Linked DNA regions of Cricetulus griseus. The protein of the gene in region 1 purifies or fractionates together with the protein of each later gene. This does not show direct contact. Links are inferred from orthologs where the notes say so. Each region holds a gene or a part of one and is shown on either strand. Other genes may lie near its edges.

The links.
Region 2: the proteins of Rel (region 1) and Tnip2 purify together in Homo sapiens (affinity purification with mass spectrometry; 3 studies listed by BioGRID and IntAct, counting the BioPlex papers as one, with this or other methods). This does not show direct contact. The link is inferred for Cricetulus griseus from reciprocal best matches to the Homo sapiens genes REL and TNIP2.

The regions. Positions count from the first base shown.
Region 1 is NW_023276807.1:83,002,687-83,013,010, reverse strand, and holds the start of Rel (proto-oncogene c-Rel), read right to left. Parts: upstream 5,808-10,324; 5' UTR 5,397-5,807; coding exon 5,375-5,396; intron 1-5,374. UniProt on the Homo sapiens protein: Proto-oncogene that may play a role in differentiation and lymphopoiesis.
Region 2 is NW_023276807.1:103,495,505-103,505,828, forward strand, and holds the start of Tnip2 (TNFAIP3-interacting protein 2), read right to left. Parts: upstream 4,820-10,324; 5' UTR 4,676-4,819; intron 4,571-4,675; exon of another isoform or gene 4,527-4,570; 5' UTR 4,482-4,526; coding exon 4,203-4,481; intron 1-4,202. UniProt on the Homo sapiens protein: Inhibits NF-kappa-B activation by blocking the interaction of RIPK1 with its downstream effector NEMO/IKBKG.

The DNA.
Region 1 (10,324 bases):
AGAACTACACCTTCATGCTTTCTCATATATGTTCATATCTTAACTGTATCTATGACTTTTAAAATCCTCCTTGCTATGAAACTGTCTGTATTATATATCAGTACAATGAGCCAATCATATCCTTCCCTGGTACTGTTTTGCAATGCCATTCCTCCTGAAGATGAAAGATGCAAAAATGTAGTCCTCAATGAAGGGAAGAAGAGAAAATTATACATCAGGGAACCTTAGGGAAAATAAATACTCTTAACCAAGATTACCGAAAGTCACTACAGTTCTTAAAAGCATAGAAATGTTTTCAAAATTGTTTCTAAACAATTTAATTTTTTTTAACCAGGGCAGTGTAAAGTAAGGACTGAACCCTATATCATGAATTGCATTGTAAATGCTAATACTGACTAGAATAACCTTTGAATTACAGCTAAAATGCTTGCAAAGTTTTCATGTGCACTTAGGCAAAAAGGAATGCTCTTTGAAAACATTGAGTCTATTTACTCTCTTTTTACTATTTACTAATTTTTACTATTTACATTTCCTTTTACTATTTACTAATTAATATTTACTATTTACTTGTGTATTAATTTCTATTTACTAATTCAAGTATGAGATTTTAAAATTAAAAAGAAATTACACCGAAATGTTAGAAATAGATCAATTGTCCAAATTATATATATAATAGGCATATCTACTAAAATGTTATTGCTAGAATTAGAAGTTAGAATTAAGTGCACATATACTAATTAAAACATACATAGGTATTTCTCACTGGTCCTCTTAACTTTAAACTTCATAAGGAAAACTGGTATTATTATCTCATTTTAGAGACAATAAAACTAAACTTGAAAATAATATGAAATTTTGAGAAAAAGATTATTATTATTCTATTCCTTTTTGTTTATCTTTTGAGACAGTCTCACTGGCCAGGGACTTGCTTAATAGACCAGACTGGCCTTGAATTCAGAGCTCTGCCTGCCTCTGCCTCCCAAGTGCTGGGATTAAAGGAATGCAGCACTATGCCTTGTCACACACACACATATGCACACTAATCATTTTTGATAATATATTAGTGAAGAAGTCATAATCCAAGAAGCTAACAAATCTGACTACCAAATGGATGTCTTCTGGGTCTATGACCACAGATGAGATATGAAAAGAATGATAAAGAGTAACATTGTTCCATGAGATCTTTTTGTTGAAAGAACAAAAGTCATAGGAGTCATTAAATTGAAGAGATATAATTACAACCAAGGTTTTGAATAAAATCAATTACTTTACTTATATAACAAGAAAAAAGCAGTTAAGCATAAAATCACAACAACAGATATGGCTATAACCTATAATCTAAAATCAATACAGCTACCTGAAGAACACAAGGCAAATATTTAGATTAAAAGTAGTCCCTGGAATAAAATTTGTCCTGGGGCTGTACTTCAGAAACCACCTAGGTAGCTTTTCCAAACAGTAAGTTATACCCTAACCTCACAGACATCTGAAGAGAAACATAGCTCTTCAAGAATAAAGCCCAGACAGATTTCTGAAAAAGCCTTCCAACTTAGTCTAAATACTCTGAAGACCAAGTTCTCTAAAACACAAGAAAGTAAAAATAACAATGAAGTTATTCAGGAAAGCAACTCAAAGTTCAGATCCAAGTACAAACGAGATTATGGATAAGGCAGGTAAAACAATCAGGGCTAGTTGTCATTCCTTTTTCTATTCTACTCACAAAAAAGAAAGGGGGGAGAGAGAAGGAACGAAGGAAGGAAGGAAGGAAGGAAGGAGGGAAGGAAGGAAGAAAGGAAGGAAGGAGAAAAAGGAAAGCGTATTCAAGTGCAATGTAGAAAACATTCTAAAACTAGATTTTGACTGCTTTCTTCAACAAAGTATTATTTTGAACTACTATCACTCCTTTATTATTTACAATACAGCACACAAATGATGGTTATACTAACTAGAGTTGAGAACAGCCAATCAGAGTGCCTCTGTCTTATAGAAATCCTATGTAACAGACTTTGCCTGGGACCCAAAGGAGCAAACGGCTAATAATCATACATTCCCAAATATCATCTCTATTCATTCTGGGAAAAAGTAATTAAGAGTTATCCTTTTTCTGGTCACTCACACCTGAAATTCTAGCACTCAGGAGGCTGAGGCAGGAGAATCAGGAGTTTAAGGTCATCATAGCTATATAGCTATCCTGGGTTACATGAGACCCTAACAGAAAAAAAACAAAACAAAACAAAACAAAACAACAACATCACACACACACAAACATATAAATATATATTAGAAATTTAATATATCCTGCTGACTTTCAAGCAAGAGGCATTCAACTGATGTATATATATACCCCAAGGCAAATCAAAGGGAAGGAAACACTTTGCAGTAAGATTTCACTGCTGTGGGTACAGGAAAAAAACCTAAGGTTTTTACCTGCTAGAATGAGGAAGTAACGTTTAAAGTCTTTCCTAGAATAAAAAATACATGGAAGCATCAAATCATCTCTATTAGGATTTCAGACTTAAAAATACAAGAGATTCAGTTAAATACAAATTTCACATGAACAATTACTTTTGGATAAATGTATTCTCATTTGCAATATTCAGATCATGTGCTCATAAACACAATTATGCAGAGAACACAGATGGAAGAAAATTGAGACAAAAATATTCTGAGTCCCTTAAATTGTTTTTTGAGAAAAACACCACACATACTCTGTGTTCCTAATTATGATTTTGCCATTCATTTTCTTCACTAATTCTCTTTATTATGCATTACTAATTTTGATAACACTTTTATCGATTTTCATATGTTTCGTTTCTGAAATATTTGTGAGCAGTCTTACTTTAAAAAAAAAGGAAGTCATTTGTTTTGGCTAACCACTCCTAACTTCCAGCTCTATTATTAAAGTGTAAGCAGTCTCTCAGTTGCATTCACTTTTATTAGAGAAAAAAAGGTTACCTTGAAATTCACATACAGAAAGTTGGTGACTAGTACCATCTACAAAAATAATTTCTTTCTGTACTTCCTGTTCTGTGATACAGATGAATAATACTACAGAAAAAAATGTGACTAAAGACATACTTTCTAAAATTTAAAGCACATTTCACCAAAGACATAAGTATCAATCATTAGTAGTTACAATATGTGCCACACAAGGTATCTGTGCCCCCCCATTTTGTTCTTTTTAAGAAATAATGAGAAGCTTTAAATATGGGCATAAAGCAAGTAAGAGTAAATAGGATTTGCCTACTACAATTAATCATATTGAAAGGCTAGAATCAAAACACAGTATTTTTATAGGGGCAATGAAAAGCAGCTTAATGGCTAGATAAGAAGTAATAATTTGCTAATTTACCTGAACAATAATTAGAATCATCATGTAAAATCCTGTTTACTTGTGGCATTTATATGATTCTGCTTATGCAATTGTGATCTATGATACTTTTACATTATAGGCACCACCTATTCAATTATACATACCTATTTACATATGACATCCAGAGAGAAATGAACAAATGGTCTTAAATGTTTGATAAGCAATAAGAATACTTTTCAAGGTTTCAATACCATATTACAAAAATAATCTAAATTAGTGATAAATTGAGCAAATTTTGTTGTTCTTAACTTACTATTCCAAATGGAATGGGGATTTTATATGTATTTCACAATTTTTTCTCTATATGGTCTTTATAACTGATAATGTACCCAGACTCCTTTAAACTACATTTTGCCTAGAGGTTTCAATTAACCAAATTACAATTAAAATGACACGATGTATTTTAAATAGTCTAATTAGGGCAGCCCTTGATTAAGAAAAAAGCAAGAAGATAACGACACTACAACTTACAGATTTCTTTTCTTTTTTTTTCCCTGACAGTACTGAGAATCCAACCCAGGGCTTCACAGAAGCTGAGTAAACTCACTCTCAAGAGCTACAACCCCAACACAGCTTTGAAATTCTTGCCATTCTTTAAAAATTCCCCCGGTTTAATTTTGGGAAACATTTGTATAACAGCACAAAATATGTGTCATTAGACAAATTTCAATTGTATGACACTTCAAAATCATGGCTGTCTTACAGTACTTTACGTAATAAATGATTTTTCTCTTGAAAAAGTTCAAGTATTACATTCATGTACTACATTAAAATCCTGTTAAGTAGATGAGGGCAGAGCTGTCTTATTTAACAAAGCCTGCCACTTTACAACTTTCATGCAACATCTTTTCTGGTTACAGTGAGTTAATGAAATATTTGGAGCCTTCTTTCTGTTTTTAATCTGAGCATGAGTTACATTTACGAATTTACAAGATTACCTGAAAGTCTGGGTTCATTTAAATGGGTAAAGAGAAAGTTGAAATATTTTAAACTACATTTGTTTTCTCATGAAAACCACAGACAAACTGAAATCAAGTGTCATGTGAAACACCCCAGTTTCCTTTACGGCCTACAGTAGGAGTTATGGCATTGTTCAACTCTTAAAAGAGTTCATTAAGCTTTCTACTTCCTCTTCTCTGCTAGACGTCGGCTGCCTTCTCCTCAGAGACCCTGAAGGGTCACTGGGAAGATCAGGGGTCAGCATCCCGCTAGACTGAAAGTGTGGCTTCAGTTCCCAAGACCAGGAAAGCGCCCACCACCACCTGGGGCTGCTGGATGAACTCGCCTAATATGACTGCCCTGCTGTACAGAAAGCGAGCAAGTAAACTGTTTTCTTATAAAGGTGGCCCCCTAAAGAAACATTTACACTAAGTGATCACACTTTTCATCCCCACTAGTTATTTTATTTTCCCCACTAGTTATTTTAAAGCACAATCGACAACTCGTCTCGCCCTCTTGCTAACAAAATGTTCCAGCAGGTTGGGAGCAGAGGGGTCGACGTCTCTGAGAGGCAAACTAGACAAGGAATCCCTTCAGCTCTGAGGGAGGGAAAAAGCTAGTGTTTTCACTTGGAACGAGTTAAAACGCCACCGAGGACACTTACAGCCGCGCCACATTCTGTACAACTGTCAGCCCAAGAGCGATTAGCTCCTGGCACGATAGGATTTAAAAAAGAAAGCTCGCCCGAGGTCCTGAGGTTCCTCTTTTTGTTCAAAGATGTAAACTGGCGTCTCAAGGCCGGTCTTTAAATGCCAGGCTCGTCTGCCTCCTTTATCGAGCTCACGCGCCCCCCTCCCCATCCTAAAACCACGCCGGTGGGAATTTCGAAGGTTCTGGCTATTACAACAAGGAGATCAGATTACAGTGCGCCGCTTTGATTTCGCACGCAAACCCCGAAGCAGGTAACTTTTTAAATGGCTGACAGTTTGCCAGAGGAGACGACTTGAAAGGCAGAATGTCCCAACCCCAAACCGAGCCTTCCCGGGACTCGCAGATGCTCACCTCGGTACTCACCCGAGGCCATGGCTCGGCTCTGCGCGCCGCCCGCCGCGGCTTCCAGCGTCCGGCCGGAGGCTGCAAGCCAGTCAGCCAGCGGGTCAGCCACTCAGCCAGCCGGTCAGTCAGCCAGTCAGTCAGTCAATCAACCAGCCAGTCGGTCAGTTAGCCAGCCGCCAGCCCGCCAACCAGCAAGTCAGCCAATGAGCCAGCCAGCCGGCTAGTCAGTCAGTCAGGAGGCCGAGCAGCCTCTGCAGCCCGACCCCAGTCCTCTGCCCACCCCCGGGCCTCCTCTTCTTTCCCGGGCCCCGGTGGGTTTGCGGCTCACACCTTCCCACCCCTGAATCTTCACGCTCGGGTCACTAGTGTCCTGGTGTCGCCCTGCCAGGATGCCGCGGCAGGGGCAGGGGGCGGGGCGCACCGCCTGGCGGAACGGGGATTTCCCGCTGCTTGCGTCACTCGCGCCACCGCCTACCCGGGGCGGGGGGCGGGGCCAGGGCGGGGGCGCGCGCTCCGCTCCCCTCCAGAGCCACGGCGAGAGGCGCGCTCGCGCGAGGAGCTCCCGGGGTGGGGAGTGGGGGGGGGCGGCGGGCGCGGTGACGGCTCCGCGCGCGCGCGTGAGAAGCCGCGGGCCCCAGAGAAATCCCCCTCCTCCGGTGGCCTTCAGAACGCGGCTTGAAGCCAGGGGACGAGGGGCGTGTCCGTGACGTCGCTCGGCCGGAGGCGGGTCCTCGGCCGCCCGAGGCCCGCCCGGGGTTTTCGGAGCGGTGGTTCCCCCTCTTCCCTATTTCGCACATGCAAATCTCCGCCCCCGCGCCGCAGCGCGGCCGCCCGCCGCGCCCGCCGGCCCGCCGGCCGCCGCCGGAGCCCTCGGAGGAAGTGCGGAAGCGCCGGCGCCCGCGTTCGGCTGCAAGGCGTGAATTTGCATACGGGGACCCCCGCAGTCTGATTTTCGCTCTGTATCGACATTACGTCTTTTACGTACCAAGCGTTCTCAGCCCCGAGGGGCTGCGCGGCGAGGCCCCCGCCCCAGTCCGTGTACGTGAACAGGACGTCCAGAGATTTGACCGAGATACCCACCAGCTAAGGCCGGGCCCGAACTTGTACTCGTAGACAGGTCTGGTTTGCCTCTTAGGTACCCGGTCTCTTGGTAAATCATCTTCATTGTATACACGAGTTGACTGAGGTTTGGAGAAGTAGCTCGTAGGTAGGTACTTAAGAGCGCACGATTTAAGATTACCCAGCCCAGTTTAAAGCACTCCCAGCACTCGAGGGGCTGAGGCAGGTGGATTGTCTCAACAACAAAAATAACCCAGGGTTATCTGGCTCCACCTCTTGCGCTCTCCAGTCACTTACTGACTAAAACAAGTATGAAAGGGAAATTAAAAAAAAAAAAAAATGGCATCCTGAATGCTGACAAAATGGCTTAGGGAGTAACTGCGCTTGCCACCAAGCCTGACAACCCGAGTTCAATCCATGGAAGGAAGAGGACCCAACTTACAAAAGTTGTCCTCTGACCTCCACGTGTGCCCGAATGCATGCAGTTGGCAGGACGCCAAAAAAAGTCAACTAGATAATTAAAATATATGTCATCCTGTCATTTAAAAAAAAAAGAGAAAGAAACCATCCTGTCATACAAGTACCCAAAGTGAAGGACACTCCTAAGGAAATAATTAAAATCTGTCAATTCAAAAGTGACTTCACAAAAGGTAGAAATAGCAGTTTTTTCTTTCATTAAACACAATCATAGGCAAACCACAAAGAAAAAACAACAACAACAACAAAGCAATTAGTAGGGTGAATTACGTCCAGCACTCTGGAACACACACACACACACACACACACACACACACACACACACACACACACACTCAGACACTTCAGCCTTTATTGTAGCCACATCCATGCAATATATTTTATACTTGCTTAATTGTTTTTACCTAAAGAAAAAGTAAATAGGAAGCTACATCTTGAAGCCAAGAGAGATTTAAATTCTCACCAAGTTTTTAGACCTTGTGCTGGGCAGGAGCTGTTGTTACTCTACTATGGATAAGGCTGCTAGTTATTGGGGTTTATAGAGAACAGCCTGTGGTACTTTTAGCACTGGGTGTTACATGTCTGTAATCCCAGCACACAGGAGGCAGAGGTAGGAGTAGCAGGGGTTCATGGTCATACTTCACTGTATAATGAATTTACAAAGCCAGCCTAGGCTATAGGAGAGCCTGTCTCAAAAAGAAAACACATAAATATTCTTGTTACTTTATTTCTATAAAGAAAATAAGGTGGCTGGAGTAATAGAAATTGCCTGGGTTCTCTAAAGGGGATACTCTATGGAAGTGATACTTGAGCTGAGTCAATGATTGCTATTGGAAAATCTTAACCATACAATTGATATATACTTACATTTGCAGATTTTGCCCTGGCTGATATGTTAAGCTATTAGTGTGTGCTACCTGGGGTGAAGGCAGAGCAGTTAGACTGTTGTAGTAATGGAATTGAGACCTTGACTGTACTAGTGTTTGTGCAGAAATAGTAAAAGGAGGTCAGATATTTGACGTCAGGGCTAGCTTGGAAAATTGAAGCAGCTGAGGATTTTTTTTAATGAACTTGATTTTGGCAAAATAGAGTAATTAAACTGGGTGGAATAGCACTTTCCAGTAATCCCAGGACTAGGCCAGCTGATGCCAAAGGGTCTGAAGTTCAAGGCTAGCCTAGCTTATATTAGGAGACCCTGCCTCAATCAAATAATTTTTTGAAATGGAGGTCAGTTATGACTTGAAAACTGAGCTATAAAAACGGTGATCATAAAGCTGGGTTGAAGCAGGTTGAGGAGAGACTGATGGATGTGGTAGGTATAAACTTTTGGAAGAGTGTTGAAGAAAACAGAAATGGAGTACTAGCTGGTGCAGGGTGTGGATTTATATTATGCTCAGGACTATCACTAACAACCTCAATTTCAACAAGTTAGTACAAAGCCCCCTGAGTGTTGACTGGCTCTCCTCCAGGAGTGACCCAGGTACCTTCCATATTGCAGTACCAATATTGAGGAGAACAGGCTGGGCCTGCTCTGACTTACTCTGCGATGTGGAATATCACCTAGCCACCTCAGTTACTTTTCTATCACAGTGACAAAATGCATGAATGACCAAGGTAACTTATAAAAGAAAGCATTTAATTTGAGGGCTCATGTTTCCAGAGTGTTGGTGTCCCTGACCATTATGGTGGGGAGCATGGGAGGCAGGGCACCAGAGAAGTAGCTAGGAGCCTACATCTTGGGACAACCACGAGGCAGAGAGAGAGGAAGAGCCAACTGGGAATGGTGTGGGCTTTTGAAACATCAAAGCCCACCCTGTGACACACCTCCTCATCCTTCCCAAATAGTTTCATCAACTTTGAACCAAATTAAAATATATGAGCCAATTGGGGCCATTCCCATTCAAGCCACCAAAATGAATTAATCCATTTTATAAAGCAACAACCATGACCTGAGTTATTCTGTTTTGAGTGTAAGTGCCAAAAAAGAATGAGTCTACTCTCTCACTTATAATTATCTGCCATCATACCAGGAGACACAGACCAAGCCTAAATATATCAAATGGCAATCAGAAGTGCCCCGAACATGAACTTAGTGATCATGTAACATACAATCAACCCCCTTACCTGACTCTATAAAAGAAGGAGCACCCCAAGACCAGAATGTGACAGATATGCTAACTGCCACCCAGTTAACTGCCATAATCCTCATCTAGGATAAGTGCTAGGACTCCTTTTGACTCTGTCCCAGTCTCAAGCTTCAACAGAGTCTCCTGCAGGTGACATTCAGCTCACATCAAACTGACCCTGGAAATGTCCTGTGACTTGGACTAGCATTTGACCTAAACAGCTCTGTGTCTGAACAGCTGGATGTCTGAAGTTGGACTTCTTGCCCAATCTCCCATACTCTTCCTTGTGCCTGTGTATGCTTTCTGCCTCTGAATTCTGTGGCCTCTTTACCCTTTCTTAGGCATTGTTTAACCACGTATACATGTATACACACACATACGTGTATGTATTGTGTGACCTGACCTGAGAGTCAATGCTAATAACTGAGGTTAAAATAAAAGAACTGGTCTCCAACCAGCAGCTGGAAACTACTTTGGAAACCGTAGCTGGCAAAATTGATGTACTCAATATATTCTGACATTATAGAAAGACACAAACATATCTGTCCATGTTTCTGACATACATACACATAACAAATATGTAACACCTTTTAGGCTGCCTTGCCAGGGCAGAGATGAGGGTCACAAGTGAAAGATTTATGTGGGCCTGGCACCATCTGCCTCCCTATTACTGCACAGTAGGACAGTAACACTGCCTTAGATGCCAGAGAAATTAAGAAACAGAAATTGGTAAAGGAAAATGAAAGCCAATATTGGCTAATTGCTATAATCCTAACACTTAGGAGAAAGAAGAGGGATGGTTATGAGTTTGAGGCCAGTCTGTGTTACAGAGTAACAGTGAAAGAGGGGAAGGGAGAGACAAACAAACAAAAAGTAGATGTCAGTAGGTGCTGTTAGCCTCTGGGTGGAAATTTCCTTCCCAGGTGACATGCATCGTGCAGTGTAAGGGTGGACTAGGCGGTGAAGAAGGTTGGTGATGACGGTGGAACTTTAGAGCACAGGTGGTGCTGGACAGGCAGACCTCTACTGCAATGGGGAGGGACTAGGAGCTGCCTTTGCTAGAAAGCAGACTTCTCACTTGGTTCTACAAAGCTTTAGACCACTGGTTCTCACCCTTCCTAACACCGAGACCCTTTAGCAGTTGCTCATGTTGTGGTGACCCCAACCAGAACATTTTTTCGTTGCTAAGTCATAACTGTAATTTTGCTACGGTTATGAATCGTAATGCAAATATCTGGTATATGACCCCAAGGGGGTCGAGTTCCACAGGTTGAGAACACCTGCTCTAAAAGTA
Region 2 (10,324 bases), about 20 Mb from region 1:
CTTTATTTATTCATTTATTTTGGCTTTTTTGGGGGGGTAATTTTTCAAGACTGAGGGTTTCACTGTGTAGCCCTGGCTGTTCTGGAACTCTACTTTGGCTTTTTGAGACAGTACCTCACTATGTAGCTCTAGCTAGAACTCACTATGTAGATCAGGCTTGCCTCAAACTCATAGAGATCCACCTGCCTCTGCTGTGGGGGTTCTAGATTAAAGACATACACCACCATGCCCAGCATTTTATATTTACTTATTTGTTTGTTTGTTTTTCAAGTAGACCTAGCCTCAAACTCAGAGAGATCCACTTGCCTCTCCCAAGTGCTGGGATCAAAGGTGTGTGCCACCATTGCCCAGAACAGCTTTTTATTTTAATTTATGTATCTGTATGTGAGTATGTATATGTGCATTCAAGTTACTATGGAGGCCAGAGAGGATGAAAAAAACAAAAACAAAACAAAACCTTGAAGCTTGAGTTACAGGCACTTGTGAGCCTCTTGATGCTGTGATCCAATCTTGGGTTCTCTACAAGAGCAGTATGTACTCTTAATTGCTGAGCTTCTTTCTAGACCCACATTATTAGATTTTAAAATTAAGGCCAGCTGCAGTTATTTTCCTTTGTTACAGATGAAGAACAAATGATTTAAAGCATAACCATGTTGCATTTACTAGTAGAATATAATGCCATTAAGAGGTAAGAAAAAGATGGTAAGAAATTTAAAAGTGCTACTGCATTTGCATTGATATGACAAGCACATAGTCTCTTTGACATTTGCCAAAACTGTGCTCACACATATTTGTCATCATAGAATGTATTACATTAGTTACTGTGGTTTGAATGAGAATGGCCCCCATAGGCTCAGATATTTGAATACTTGGTCCCTCGTTGGGTGAAATTGTTTTGGGAAGGAATGGGAGGCGTGGCCTTGTTGGAAAAGGTATGCCAGTCACTTGGGATGCGGGCCTTCACCAAGCCCAGTCTCTTCCTCTGTCACCTGCCTGTGGATCAGATGCAGGTCTCAGCTACTGCTCAGCACCATGCCTGCCTGCTGCCTCTCTTCCTATCTGATGGTTATGGATTCATCCTTGAAACTGTAAGCAAAACCCCAATTAAATTCTTTCTTTTACAAGTTGCCTTGGTCATGGTATCTCTTCACAGAAAAGTAACTAAGACAGTTACTAGTATATAGTCATAGAATGTATTCCATTAATAACTAATGTATTATATTAGTTACATTAGCCTTATCTTGTGCATACCTCTGCAAACCACATGACCAAAGAAGCTATATCATAGAAAAAAACAACTCTGAAATGAAAATGAACAGGATTGTTTTGTTTTGGTTGTTTTGTTGTTGTTTGTTATGTTTGTTTTTTGAGACAAGTTTCTCTGTGTGACTGTCCTGGAACTCACTTTGTAGACCATTCCAGCATCGAACTCACCTGCCTCTGCCTCCTGAGCACTGGGATTAAAGGTATGTGCCACCATTGCCCAGATTGTTCAGAGTTATTTTGACAGGGTAATTTTTGATACATATGTCTACTGCTAATACATTTAGTCAATTTGTTTTGGCAAACTAAGAAGCCATGCAATAGTTTTGTAACATTTAAAGTCACCACAATGTTAACAAAATTTCCTAAATAAAATTGCAAATAAGTCTTAAAATCCCTGAACAAAACCCATATGTCAGAGGACGAAGGACCAGTAGTACTGGAACCACAGACTGGTTCTGTCTGGGCCTCTAGAGAGCTTCCTGTGGATGCATCTGCACTGAACACCAATGGCTGCCAGGCTGCAAATTCAGTTCTGTTATGATTATGGGGAGCTCTTTTACCCCAACTGTTCCCACTGATATTCTGATAACACATTCTGGGGTGTCTTCAGAGCTCCACTCTGTACTCATCTGTGGCTTCTGATGTGCACAACACTAAGTTAGTGGCACAGACGAGGTAAACTCTACATTTCCCTTCTGCTCTATTTTACAACTCTCCTTCCAGAAAGAGGGAGAAGTGGAGTGGAAGACATCTGGATGCTCTTGGTGCTTTAAATAATACATATAGAAAACAATGACAATGTAATAGAAAGTAAATCTGTATAATAAGGGTCAACTCAACAATACCAAGAATATATGTCTTTGCAAAGGAAAAACAGGCAAGCCATGTGCAAAAAGCATGTGGGATTATTTTATTCTTGCCTTTATTTTTCAGATGTTCTGAATTTTACCATCAGAAAAAAAAATGCATTTTTTCCCTCTTAAATTTTGATGTGGCCAGAACTGGTGGCAAAGTCCTGTAATACCATCTACTTGGGAGACTAAGGCAGGAGGATCCAAAGTCAAGGCCTTCCTGGGATTCACAGTGAGTTTAAGGTCAGATTGTGTAACTTAGTGAGACCAGGTCTCAAACTAAAAAGTAAAAAGAGAACTGGAGATGCAGCTAAATGGTAGAGTACTTGCCTAGAATGTGTGAGGCTCTAAGTCAATCCCTAACACCAAAGGGAGTAGGAATAGGAGAAAGAAAGAAAAATCTAGCTGTGGTGGTGAAATCTTGGAAACAAACATTCTCCTTACAGGCAGGCTTACTTTCTTTGCTGGGAAAACCAGGATAGCTATGGACCAAATGCAGTAACATGCCAGTATGAATCCAAATGTGGGGGGAGGGTGTCTGATTTACAAATAACATTTATAAGAAAAACATTTCCCTTGGTTCAGTTTTGTATGCTTATGGTATCTCACAGAAGCCAAATAACACCAAATGACAAGGAGAACCAAAGAATTTACAAATTATCACATACTTGACAGGCTCTTCCTGTCACTTCTTGCAATATAATACTAAAAGCCACCAATCAAAGGCATGGGTCTTCTCTCTCAGAGCTCCATCCCTTGAACCCTTGCATCTCCCAGGTCCCTGGCGCCCCAAACAAGGTTCAGAAACCCACATTCTACAGAAGACCTCCCTAAGACAGAACACAATACACAAAACCTGCATTCCCACAACTCAACACACATACACACTGGAACCTACACACATTGTCAAAAAGCAATGCCTGTATGTCCTTGAGACGCTCTAGGCTCCATGCCTCAGAACCTATAGTGTCCCTTTAAACCCTGCACCCTCTGAACCCTGAACATTAGCCCTGCTCAGAACTCCATCTCCTTCAAACCAAGTGCCCTGATGTGTGAATAAGAACGGCCCCCATGGACTCATATATTTGAATGCTTAGTTGGGGGGATGGCACTATTTGAGAAGGATTAGGAGGTGTGGCTTTGTTGGAGGAACTGTGTCACTGGGGCTGGGCTTTCAGGTTTCAAAAGTCCACACCAAGCCCATTGTCTCTCTCTGCCTAGGGATCAGAATGTAGCTCTCAGCTACTACTCCAGCACCATGCCTGCTTTCGAGCAGCCATACTCCCCACCATGATAATAACCCCTCTAAATCTGTAATCAACCCCCTCCCATTGAAATGCTTTCTTTTATAAGAGTTGCTTTGGTCATGATATCTCTTGAAAGCAACAGAGCTGTGATGAAAACAGCTACACACCCCTTTGGGGTCTGGAGCACAGATTGGAGAAGCTAACTACCAACAGAACCATGTGTTCAAGACTACCTCAGTACCTCAAGCTCCACAGATCCCTGCATTCCAGGATAACCTCCTGCTCCTCAGATCTGCCACACAGAACTTCATGAGCAAGTTTACCTCAACAGTGCCCCTCAAAGTCGACAGACCCAGGGGGTCTCTCCCAAACTTACCTCCATTATATGTCCCTCGGAACTGTTCATAACCTGAGCCCCTGAGGACCGGGTACTTCTCAAATGTCCGCATCCCTAACACCCTGGTGCTCACCAGAAACCTGTGTCCCAGAGACACCTGCTCACCTCTGTGCGTTAAATGAATCTCCAACCGCTCAGGACCCTGGACTCCACATACTCTCGCCCTTCAGACCCCCCCTCAGGGTTCCCTGTGTCTCAGACCCCCGCGCCCTTCAGACCCTTTGAGTCTCAGGACCTCGTGCCCCCTCACAACCCTGCTCCCTTCAGACCCCCGCGTTCCCCCTAGACGCCCATGCCTCTGGACCTCACGCTCTTCAGACCCGCACCACACGCCTCATATCCTCGCACCCTCATATCATCAGCGCGACCATCAGGACCGGACTCGGGCTACACTCCAACAAGCTCCCGAGGCCTCCCGGGGCAGCAGCGCCCGCTCCGAACCTGGCGCAGCTGAGTCTCGGTGGCTCCTTCCTCCTGCCGCCGCAGCTGCTCACGGAAGCGCTCCACCTGATCCAGAAGCGCGTCCACGAGCGACGGCGCCGTGTCCCCTTCCAGAGCCTCTAGGCGGGTGCGGAGGCTCGCGATAAGGGCGTCGCGCGCGGCCAGCTGATCTTGCAGGCGCTGCAGCTGCTGGCCGGCCTCGTGGTACAGGCTACAGAGCGCGGCGGCCGCGCGCGGGGCACCGTCCTGTCTGCCAGTCCTTGCATCCCCAGACGACATGGCTGTGGACCTTCTCGGGGACCCCGGATCCTCGAACTTCTGCGCCTAGCGGGAGCAACAACCGACCTTCCCGGAACTTTTCCCGCCTCGCCCCGCCCACTCCCCCGGAGCCTAATCCGCCCCCACCCACAGTTGGCTCCGCCTCACTCACTGCCCGGAGTCTGACTCCGCCCCCTCCCACTCATCGGTCCTACCCTGTCTTGAGGCTTCCTTCTGGGGGCTATCCTAGGCCTACAGTCGCGGCGACCCTATTCCCTCCGTCTGTGAAATTTTCCCGGAGTCAGACCCAGTCTGCGACCAGGGTTTGGGGTTCGGTTTCCTCTGCCACAGCTGCTGAAGGAAAGCAAATAAATCAAATTACTTCAAACATTGGACGTGGGGTGTAGTTAAGGTTTCATTGGCTGGGCTCCTTCCTCTCCAGGGACTTGGCTTGCGTTTCGTCACGTAGGGACACTGAGCTCAGAGAGGACTTCCCATCCAGAATGCTTGCTGGGTCCCAGAGCCAGCCACCAGACCCCAGAGTACCCCTAAATTCGAGTTAGAACTGCCTTAGTGCTAGAAGCTGTTCTTAGAACAGAAGACAGGAGGGCACTATCGCTTTCCTTCCCACAGCTTCCATACAAACGCTGTCTTCCCTCTGGGAAGTGCTTCCTCCCCCAACCCCACCCCACCCCCACCCCCCCGCAGTGAGGATCTTCCAAAGGGCCTTGCTAAGGTCTCATGGGGGTCCCTTCATGTGAGGATGTGTTTCTCCTTCTTTGCTCAGTCTCCTGTGCTCAGCATCCTGTCTGTTCCCCTGGTGTGGTCCACAGACAAGGTCTGGCTGAGCCTGTAGAAACTCACCCACTTGCAGTATCAAACTATAAGCAAAGCTAGACCCTCCCTGCCAAGTATTTATGGGATGAACACTGGGAGTGGCACACCTGGCTTACCTATGGTCAGCTCCTTTTTAGTCCTCAGAGCCAAGACTCCTGTTCAGAAAAGATACTGTCTTCCCTACGTGGTAGGGGTGTTGTGGCACTAGAGAATGGGTGTGTCTGTTTCTTTTCTATTGCTGAGACAAAAATGCCACCACCAAGGCAGCTTAAAAGAGAAAGCATTTTAGCAGGGCAGTGGTAGCACATGCCTTTAATCTTAGCACTCAGGAGGCAGAGGCAGGTGGATCTATGTGAGAAACCCTGTCTCAAAAAAACAAAACAAATAAGCAAAACAACATTTAATTGGCCATGAAGAGTACATCTTGACTGACTGAGGCAGCAGCAGGATAAAGAGGAAGGGGCAGGGGAGGGCACCACACAAAAGAACCCTAGCCCAGAGCTGATTTGTGCTTTTAAGTCTTCACTGTTAGTGCCATATGTAGCCTGGGGTAAGTGCTTTTGATCCCAATTGTGAACTACAAAAATAAACACCAAACAACCCAGAAACTTCCAACACACTCTGGGTCATATGTGTTTGGAGTTCAAAAGCTTTGGTTTTAGGTAGGTACGTATGACTGAGGTAACCACCCTCTAAAATGGAGGTCTCTTCCCAGTATCCATGCATACAGCCCCCATACAAAAAGTAGTAGTACTTGATGTCTGTAACTGAGAGGCCGCTGGGGGAAATGGTGGTGGGAGACCGCTGTAGCAAAGCCATGAGACACATTTTGTCTATTGACTCAGCCAGTTTGTCCACTTCAGTGAAGGAACCAGTTTAGAACTAAATCATCTGGCCCCGGTGAGGTCTCTGAGAGATTGCAGGCCCAGCTCATATGTTGGCTTCCATCTCAGAGAAGTTCCTGTACCTTATTTCCCAGGTATACTGCTCCAAGGCGCCTAACAAACTGCAAAGTAACAAATGTAATGTTTCAAGCTGCTAGCATGGGGGGTGTCTTTTAAAAATGTGTGTAAGGGGGCTGGAGAGATGGCTCACAGGTTAAGAGCACTGACTGCTCTTCCAGAGGAACTGAGTTCAATTCCCAGCACCCACTTGCAGCTCACAACTGTCTGTAACTCCAGTTCAGGGGACCTGACACCCATAGTAAAACACTAATGCACATAAAATAAAAATAAGTGTGAATATGTGTGTGATATGTGTGTGTATATGTGAAGATGGAGATTAACATATCTTCTTGTGAATTATTTTAGCAACTATTAGCTATAGACAACTTACATTGTTACCGATTCTTATATGTTAAAACTTATGTAAAATTAACTTTGTATTCCTGTTTTGGATAATTGTATATTATATTTGTCATACTATGTAGACTTCTTCTTTCTGTTTATGATGTTTTGTGCACAAATATAAAACTTTCTTTACCATATTCTATGTATGTATGCTTCTACATATGCTTGAGATATTTTGTATATTGATATAATTTAGGATATTTTTATTATGTTGCACTATACAGTTCTACCTCTAGCCAAGACATTTCAGTTCTACCTCTATTTTAGAAATTTACATATATATGTTTAAATTTACAAATTTGAGGTCATTGTCCTAATGCTACACACATATATGTTTAAATTTACAAATTTGAGGTCATTGTCCTAATGCTACACACCAGTTTTAAGATTGTTTAAATTATTTTGGGAAGCTTCAGTCACTGAGCAATTATGTTTCTGAAAATTACAGATTATAGTTACCCATGCTTCTTATACCTAATGATGTTAGTGAGGTTCTATATGTGTTCAAAGATGTACCCAACATAGATATTTGATCTTCAGACACTTCAAAGACCTACAGAATATGGCATTTAAATGTTTTAATAATTTAAAACTCCGTTGACATGAGACATAATTGCTCCTGACAGCACCAACTTATTCCCGAGAGTATGATAGACACCAATGACACTCCATTTGGAGTTTGTTCTCTTCTTGGCTACTGGCCTCTTGGGCAAAGAACTGCCCCCACTGCAACAACTGACTTTGGACACGCTGTCCTAACTGGGCTAGCAGGAGATAAACTTAAACTGCTAAACCTTGCCAAGTCAGGGTAAGACAGTCTTTCAATTTCCCTCCTTCTGAGATGGTCTGTCTGATACTCTAGGCCTTAGCCAAAGTTGGTTGTCTGGACATTACTGTGAGACCTTGGGTGACTGTCCAGGTAGCCTGCTGTTTCTGTCTTCTCTTGCACCTTTAGGAAGTCACACACTTGCACTTCCTGCCTACCCTAGTAATGTTCTTGTCCTTCTCAGGTCTTTAATGAGGTTGAAGGCTAGACAGTCACAGATAATATCCTCTCTTATCTTAGATAGAAAATACTAGGTACAAGACTTAGACTTTCCAGATTAGGACAGCTATTAGAGTAATCTTTGTTATATGCCATTACCCTGAAACTGCACATGTAGAATGTGTCTATTGCTCAATATTGCTCTTGCTGGTTGTGGGTCTTAATTTGTGTATGTTTTTACCTTTCCTTCTCCTGGAATATACTTGACATTTGTTATCATTGTATATAGTTTTTGTATCAGGCTTAAACCTTCTTCTTTAGACAAAAAGGGGAATTATAGTGGCATCTTGCCAGTGAATGTGTAATAGTGGCCACACCATTTGGGCATGGTTTCAGGTGACCCCTTTAAGGTAGAGGAGCTGTGGGCACACACTCTCTTGGGTCTTGGAAATCATCGGAAGGGCAGAGACTGCATCTCCTGGAGCAGGAAGGCCACAGAGGTTATTACTCTTATCTGTGTAAGTTCTTCCCTAATAAAACACCTACTTATCATTTATCTTTTGTCTGGTGAACTCATTTCAACCCTGCCTTCACATATGTATACATAACGTGTGTGTGTGTGTGTGTGTGTGTGTGTGTGTGTGTGTGTGTGTGTGTTGGTGTTGAGTGTCTTAAATTCTGTTCACCCTATCAATCTTCTGAGACAAGGTGTATCAGTGTGTCACTGAACCTAAAATTCACAGATTGGCCAGCAAATTTCAGGGATCCACCTATCTCCAACCCTCAACCCCCATGCTAGAGTCATAGATGTGTGATCGTGCTTGGCTTTTACATTGGTGCTGTGAATCCAAAATCAGATTCTCAGGCTATCTGTTTCACTGGGCTCCCTTGAAGATCTTTCTGTTGTTTTGTTTTGTTTTCCTCTTTCCTCTTTTGGTTTTGAGACAGAGTCTCATATTGTAGCCCTTGCTGGCCTGGAATTCTATGTAGACCAGACTGGCCTGGAACTCATAGAGATCCACCTGCCTCTGTCTCCCTAGTGCTGGGATTAAAGGCACATGCCACCAGCACCCATAATTTTTTCTTGTCCTTTATTTTGACATAAGGTCCCACTCTGTATTCCAAACTGGAACTCACTTTATAAACCAGTCTAGCCTCAAACTCTTGGCAATCTTCCTGCCTTAGCTTCCTGAGTTTGGATTATACATAAAGCTACCGTCCCCATAGTAACAGAACATTAGCAATTGGCATACAATTTAGGACTCCTCTGGGGGCATCTTTCAGCCCACAGAACAAGTCAGTTTCTGAAAATACAAAGGGAATGGCCATTCAAGTTAAGTATGAGAATGTTCTTGTCAGCTTTATTACCAACTTTAAGGAAACACTTTGGGTTTCTGAGCTCTTGGGGACTGTAGAACTGTAGATGGAGTTTGCAGACTTCTAAGAACACTTACCTTCCATGGCATGGTTAAGAGTCTTCAAGTTAACACAGAAAGTTCCCGGCACACACACACATCTTTAACTGAAATTCAGCTACAGGACCTAGGCCCTAGAGATTTATATTTAGAGATTTGTTGTTGCTGTTGTTTGGTTTTTGTAATTGTTTTGTTTGGTTTTTTATTTGTTTGTTTGTTTGTTTGACAGGGATTCTCTATGTAATAGCCCTAGCTGTCCTGGAACTTGTACACCAGACTGGCCTCAAACTCACAGAGATCCAACTGCCTCTGCTCCCCAAGCCCCCATCAAATGCTGGGATTAAAGGCATTCTACACCACTACTGGGCATTATAGGTAAATGTTCTAATACTGCAGACAGAAGCCCAGTCCAAGAAGTAGGGGAAGTTTGTATACATATATTGGTTAATAATCACCACCAGATTAACTGGAACATACTTGGGAGCGTGGGAGGTTTCCAGGAAGGATTAATTGAGTAAAGAAGATCCCTTCTAAATGTAGGCAGAACCATCCCTTGCACCAGGATCTGGGCTGAATAAAAAGGAGAAAGTGAGCTGAGTACCATGTTTGTCTCCTTTGGCTTCCTGGGATGTGGCCTCATGCTCCAGCTGCCATACCTTCCCCTTATGATGGATTGTGTACCCTCAAACCAGGAGCCAAAGTAAGCCTTTTCTCCCTTAAGTTGCTTGTCATTGGGTATTTTGACTCAACAACAAGAAAAGTAACTAATGCAGTAAGGAAAAAAAGGGGGAAATATGTGGGGACCATGAGGGGGTGGGGAAACCCACCTTAAAGAGGGTGATTAGATGAGCCAGAGCACAGACCTAGGATCCCAGCATCCAAGAGGCTGAGGCAGGAGGATCATAAGTTTTAGACCAGCTTGGTTCCAAAGTGAGCATTTGTGTTGGGGAGGGGGTGACGATTAAAGAGGAGGTGGTATATCTATTTTAATGTGAAAGATGAAGAGAAGCCTGGCACTTGTGTTCCCAAGAAAGGGAAACAAGCAAAAGGGAGGGTTCTCAGGGTACCCAAGTGTAGGATAGGAGAAGACTGAAGCTCTCCAGGCCCTCAGAGAGACTGCATTTCATTCCAGGTCCTGATGGGCCATGGGTTTCAGGTGATCCCAGTGGAGCAGGTGGACAGGCCACTCAGCTAACTCTAGCTTAATTTGCTGATGGACTCACACACAGGTCCCTTTGGGATCTGCAAGGTTTCCTAATTCTCCCCTGCTTCATCTTA